Linked DNA regions of Ovis aries. The protein of the gene in region 1 interacts with the protein of each later gene in a pairwise test. Links are inferred from orthologs where the notes say so. Each region holds a gene or a part of one and is shown on either strand. Other genes may lie near its edges.

Region 1 (3,827 bases):
TTTCTGTTGTCAAGGCATCACTGATGTAAAGGACAGATCATTCAGCAGGATGAGAAGCTCCTTCTAAAAGACAACACATGCTGCCCAACAGATGCAGTTTCGTGGCTGCTGCCCTCTGGAGGGTCTTACCTGATCCATTTTTTCCCCTGAGCATCAGAGAATATCCCTCATTTCCCGGGTATAGGTTGACCACTAAACATGACAATGTCTCTTGCATAACAAGCTTCTCTAATAAGTTCACATTTCTTCTTAATTTCTGCTTTAGAAAGAGGCAGAGCTCGTGAAAATAATCCAGCATAATTTCAAATAATGCAATCACTTAACGAAACGAGACCTGAGTTAGTTAATCTTTGATGCTTCTTCCACATCTATATAAAATTAATGTTGATCTATTACTGTTTTATGCAAATGAATATCACCAAGAAAAAGTGATCCATAAAATAAAACCACCTAAATACAAATATATGTACCTGAATACACAAGTAGCAAATATTAAAAATATTTAGAAAGGAAAACCATTAAATGTAAATTTCTTTTAAAGAGGCTATAATGTATAGTTAGTTTCTATTAAGTTTAAATGTACATAAACAATATGAGGCATTCTCTTTGGTTGTACTGTTACAGAGCACTTTTCTTAAACATTTTATGGCCTAAATTAGATCCAAATAAGCTCAACAGCTCTAATTAGCTTAAATGTTAAATTCAAAGATATCCAACTGGTTAAGAGGATGAAAGTGATTTAAGTAATTTTCTGTAAATTGAACAGCTTCCTAGAAACCACTTTGCTAAAAAAAAAAAACAAAACCAAAAAACAGAAAACTATCAGGAAACATATATACATCAAAATCCATTCTTTAGAAATTCATACAATTTAAAGTGAAACCCACTTATGAATATAATAATTTCTTTCATCAAATCTTATTTGTGAAAGGTATCAGTTAATAGAATATTTTTCATGACCTCAAAAAACAAGCCTGTTTAGAGTACCTTATTTTCAACATGTATATATAGTCATATGCAAAAAATTATGAATTCTTAATCTATAGTCAACATAGAAACAAAAAACTGTATTTTGAAAATAATAAATATATATTTAAAAAGCAAAGCAACTTTTAACCACTGTGATGGAAAGCTGGAAAATATCTTTATTCTTAAAGGACCACATAGCACTTTAGCCTGTGGGCCATAAGGTCTGCATTGCAACTATTCAACTATGCTACTATCTCAAAATCAGCCATTGACAAGACATAAAAAAAGGGGTGTTGCTGGATTCCAGTAAAAGTTCATTTACAAAAACATGCCGTGAGCCGGACCCGGCTGGTAGACAGTGGCTGTCAACAGCAATCTGGAATCTTTCATGTACCTCTCCTACCTTAGTTCTATGTATGCTCACTGTACAGACTGTGGTGATAACTGATGGGGGTATAATGTGAAAATTAGTAAAAGGAAACCTCAACTAAAACTGGAGTGGGGAAGGCCTGCAGAGGGAACTCTCCTGCTCCTCCACTCATCATCCATTACCCCACCAGGAAGAGAATTACCTTGCACTCCTCAATAGGAAATGCAACTATTTTCCTTCCCCAACTGGGGGAAGACTTTCTTCTTGCCCAGCAACAAGCTCTGTGAGTGGGAAAGGACTTCAGCCCAGCCAATGGAAAACACCTGTAGCTCAGCCAACAAAAAGCCAGCATCTCCTCAAGTTTTACTTTCCTCCAGTGAACTCAGGTTTTCCTTGCTGATGACTTTCTTTCCTTGTCCTGCCCTCCTTAACAATATACCTCTTCCATGTTGTGTAACTCCTCAGAGTATCTCTGTCTGATGAGATACTGTTCAATTCATGAGTCTTTTAATAAGGCCAATTCGATCTTCAAATGTACTCAGTTTTTTTAAAAACAATGCATGTCAAAACTTACAAAATGTGTTACATACTTCAAACATACACAAATTATTGTAGGTCAATTATTCCCCAATAAAATGTATGGAAAACATGCCATAAAACTTGTGGTTTCACAATCATGTTTTTCCTAAATATTTTAAAACAGATATTATTAGAATTCCACTAATTTTTTGCCTGAGGTATTTATTTTTAAATTAAAGACACACAACAGAAGCTCACTAGAGCCTTTAAGGCCCTTACAACCCAAGGGTCCAAAAAATATCAAGAAATCAATTTCTATATTTCTACTGCCCATATGTTCATGCTCAATAAAAATAAATTTAACTTGGCCATGAACTAATTTTTGTGACCAAATTCACCTTTTATTATCGTCTATCTAAATTTCCTACATGTCCTGCAATAGTTTTAACTTTCCAGTGCAAATTACCATGAGGAGATAGGTAACTTTTCTCCTGATCTTTGGTCCACAGATAACTTCTCAGGAAGAAAAAGAAGCAAAAGACAATATACATGGTGGTTTTGCTTCTTCTAACTTCCTAATGAGACAGTCTGCTACTCAGTAAACAGTTGAGTTTGCTTACCTCTCCTACCCAAGTAGGCTATCTGCCTGGTACCAGATTAGCCAGAGCTCTGGTTCAGCTACAGAACCAGGTAGTCTGGTTAGAAAGTAGTATATTTGTTCACTAACAAAAATACAAACCGCTACCTGCTTCAAATCTAATTCCTTCAAACTTCCCTTCTTCCACTTCATTTCAAAAGCCATAATAATATAAAAAAATTATACTTACCTTAACCTCAGGCTCTTTTTCACATTCTTCAATATATAAGTCATAAAGTTTTTGAAATATAGATTTTCTAAAATAAAATAAAGACAAAACACACAGAGTACTGTGAATACAATACTCATAAAATAAAGATTTTGAATTTTCCTGTCATTTCCCCCACAATTTCCCAAAAACTGGGTGGTGAAGAGAGGCTGGACGTGGCAGCTAACATCAATTTAGAAATTACTAATACCGTTGACCTCTGCACAACATGGAGGTTAATCCTCATGTAACTTATAGCTGGCCCTCTGTATCTGTGGTTCCTCTGCATCCACAGATTCAACCATTAAGTACAGAAGTGTTTACTGTAAACATCTGCAAATAAATGGACCTGCACAGTTCAAACCCACACTGTTTACAGGTCAACTGTATATGCAAAGTACCCAAGATACAACATTTCTAGCTCAGTGTCCAGTAAGAAACAAATGGAGGCTATCATCACATTTCAGCATATCTATGATACCATCAATTAAGTATTCATACCTTCCACTAGATAGGTATTTCCTTTTAGGAGGTCTCTGCCGGGCACTTTCAATGACATACTAAAAAAGAAAAGTTTAAGAAAACAGCTGGCCTTTTGCTTAGTGCATGAACAACTGCATTAAGTATATTTAAATCATGTGTAAGGCTAAAGACTATTCAGTCATTCGAGTCTTGCATGCATATTAAATCATACCTTTTAGGGAAACCTACTAAACTTCTAAATATATGTAATAAACAAGTGAAATTTAAACTGCAGTAAAATTTAGCTCAATATTTACTTGCATTTATAAGCAAAATCATACCATTTCACCACTGTGATTTCACAGTCAATAATATTTTCAATGTTTATAGTTGTTCAGAATATATATAGCATACCCAATTACAAAGACTCTATATATTTGAGTTACTTCCCCTTTAATTAAGCAAATAGAAAATTTGTTAAAACAGAAAACAGTTTCAGAAACTCTATGTCCTTGTTCAAATATTTAACTCACAATACTGTTCAGTTTTTATTTCACAGCATTACTATCTGAGCAGTCCAAGTAACAGATGATTCAAACATCATCTGGTATTCTTATATATATATTTACAGACAGTATACTCATCCTAATATTAATGTATGC
Region 2 (3,118 bases), on another chromosome or scaffold:
GCGTACACAGCGTGGATCCCTTCAGGAAAAGGACCCCCCACGCCCCCACTTCACTACCCATCCCTGCCCCCTCCCACATTTAAAGAACAAACAAGAATTTGCAAAGCCACAAATGCCTTTGCTTCACAAAAGTGATAACTGTGGTCATTTATTATTTGTCCTCCCAGGTGCTACCATTCTGAAACTCAAAACATCATCATTTATAGAAATTAGATGGGAAAAAAAACCACCCACGATTCTGTGACCCCCCCAGCTAATGACATAGTTGCTGGGAAGGAAGATCAATGGATGCTGAAAGCTATAAGTGAAAGAAACTGATACTCGCCTAGTACTGCCAGGGTGCTTGCTTAAGGTGAAACAGACACAGCTTAACCCAGTGATCAAATTCAGCATCACTATTAATGGGACAGATGGCCTTAATGTACCATTAAGTACACAGCATCACCTATGAAGTATTCTTGCCAAAAATGTTTAACCCAATTCTTACCAACTTTTAGATTTACCAGGGTTTTCAGGAAATACAGGGGATAGAGGAAAGCAAGAGTACAGATAACATGATAGCACAAGACAGTTTTGTGGGGAGTCTTTTCAGGTCAAAGCTAGGAAAAATGAGGGTGAGAGGCAGGGGCGATTATTCTAGAAATAGAAGAGACTAAGGAAACTCAACAAAATGCAATGCATGGTCCTTAATTGGATCCTGGCTTGAAGAAGTTACTAGATATAAAAATCACCTTTAAGATAATTGAAGAAAGCTCAGTGTGACCTGGATTTTAGATGATGTTTGGGGATTATATATTTTTCAGATGTAATTATGATTGTATAGGAAGCCATCTTTATGGTGAAATATTTATAGGTGAAATTGCATGTCTGTAATTTTATTTTAAAATGATTCAGTAAAAAATGTATGTATATATAGATAAAGATATAAAGTAAGTAAAAAAGTAAAATATAAATAGTATATCTCAGAGCAGATACTTTGGAGAATGTTTGGGTATGAAGGATCGAAACTCCGTGTGTGCTTAATAAGGCATAGATTTTTGGTAATGTGTTAAAACCTCTTCTCTTTTCCTTCCCGTCTGTGGTATTGCCAGCTGTTGACCTGCTGGAGAAGATGCTTGTATTGGACTCAGATAAGAGAATTACAGCGGCGCAAGCCCTTGCGCACGCCTACTTTGCCCAGTACCACGATCCTGATGACGAGCCAGTGGCTGATCCTTACGACCAGTCTTTCGAAAGCAGGGACCTCCTTATAGACGAATGGAAAAGTAAGTCATAGCAGGATGAACATCTGTCTACCTTTTTGAGAACCTAGCTTTAAAAATCTTTCCTAGGTGAGCCACTAACCAAAAGCTGTGAGGGTGGGGGGAGTTTTTTCTGGTTGTATCCAACGCGTTAAAACTTGCAGTGGGGGTCTCTTCCGTGGAATGAGTGTGTTCCTCTGTTGTAGATGACGCCCCTCTGGACCTTTGAGATGCTTCTGTCTGGTCTGATTTTGTGCACAGCCCCTCACGTCTGCATAGAGCTTTGAGGTTCTCAGAATTTCTGCATTTATACTATCTCTTTGAGCTAAGTAGGGATTAGGGAATTTTTACAGCTTTGCAAACAACAGAACTTTGCAAACAATGAAGAGCATTTATATCTTATCTCTTAGCTTAGACCTAGTTAAGGATACGGCCAGAAATGGAACCCAGGTCTCCTAGACCCAGTCTCATATTCTTGTCATAAAACACAAATCCAGAACTTGAGTTAAATCCCAAAGCCAGGATTATCTGTTGCTGTAGCATGTGGGGGACTTCCCTGGTGGCTCAGCTGCTAAAGGATCCGCCTGCAATGCGGGAGACGTGGGTTCAGTCCCTGGGTTGGGAAGATCCCCTGGAGAAGGGAAAGGCTACCCCCTCCAGTATTCTGGCCTGGAGAATTTCATGGGCTGTATAGTCCATGGGGTCGCAAAGAGTCAGACACAACTGAACGACTTTTTACATTTCCCAAATAATTGGTTTGCTACTCTTAAGTATCTTCTCCAGAGAGCTTTAAAGAGGAGGCACTGGATGACCCCAAAATTGTTCTTTTATATGCATCCTTGAACTTTTGGGTCATCCCACGTTCACATACAAGCAATGAGGCCCGTTGAACCAGTAGCCTGGACAGGGAGGAAAGGGTCTTGAGCTTAGAAGTTAGGGTGGCTTCCCAGCAAAGTGAAGGTCTAAACTCTCACATCCTGCTTTTCCTTCCTGATTTCTAGGTCTGACCTATGATGAAGTCATCAGCTTTGTGCCGCCACCCCTTGACCAAGAAGAGATGGAGTCTTGAGTGTCTGGTTTCTATTCTGTTGATCCCACTTCACTGTGAGGGGAAGGCCTTTTCATGAGAACTCTCAAAATATCTTTCAAGTGCCTCTTGTTGCAAAGATTTCCTCCGTGGTGGAAGGGGTGTGTGTGTGTGTGCGCGCGCGTGCGTGCGTGTGTGTGTGTGTCTGACTTTGTGGGAGGGTAAAACATGATGAGCAAACTATCACAGTGACTCTGTGTGGAGTGACAGATGCTCCGTGGTGGCCTCTGCTTGCTCTTGTTCGTGAGAGGCCGCGAGGCAGGCAAGAGCGGCCACCTTGTATGGTTTGTTAAAAGCAAAGTAAAAAAATATTAAACATCCCAGACCCTGGTCATGCTTTTGCCATCTTGGCCTCTCCTGTGGCCCCGCCTTGATGCTGAGGGTCGGCTTTGGCCACATCCCACGGCAGCAGAGAGAGAAGGCTCACACCTCCTGACTGCTTCACATGGGCGCCGTCCCTCATTCTCTGTCAGCCGAGAAGGACCAGCCGGCTCCTGTGCACTAGGCTGTGACTAACTTGCTCAGTGTGGTTCTCGGAACCCAACAGGTATACCTGAAACCATTAAATATGTTCGTGCCTTAAAAGGAGAGGAGAAAGTGTGGTTAAGAGAGTGCAGCAGGTGAAGTTCTGAGCCAGGCAAGTAGTCAGGATGTCGGGCGGCCACGTGTGAACCCAGAGTAGCCAGGGCGCCTTCGGAGGCACCACGTGTGCGTGTGTGAGCATGCGTGTGTGTGCTTCCCTCTCTTCCTCCCTCGCCCCGCCCCGCCCCCAGGTGTCGTTGCCATTCCT

Evidence for each region.
Region 2: the proteins of SUPT20H (region 1) and MAPK14 interact in binary tests that used the Homo sapiens proteins (3 or more experiments, as listed by UniProt). The link is inferred for Ovis aries from reciprocal best matches to the Homo sapiens genes SUPT20H and MAPK14.

Annotation. Positions count from the first base shown.
Region 1 is NC_056063.1:24,945,322-24,949,148, reverse strand, and holds part of SUPT20H (transcription factor SPT20 homolog), read right to left. Parts: intron 3,264-3,827; coding exon 3,205-3,263; intron 2,753-3,204; coding exon 2,686-2,752; intron 260-2,685; coding exon 130-259; intron 1-129. UniProt on the Homo sapiens protein: Required for MAP kinase p38 (MAPK11, MAPK12, MAPK13 and/or MAPK14) activation during gastrulation.
Region 2 is NC_056073.1:10,163,314-10,166,431, forward strand, and holds the end of MAPK14 (mitogen-activated protein kinase 14), read left to right. Parts: intron 1-1,091; coding exon 1,092-1,265; intron 1,266-1,447; exon of another isoform or gene 1,448-1,529; intron 1,530-2,242; coding exon 2,243-2,310; 3' UTR 2,311-2,582; downstream 2,583-3,118. UniProt on the Homo sapiens protein: Serine/threonine kinase which acts as an essential component of the MAP kinase signal transduction pathway.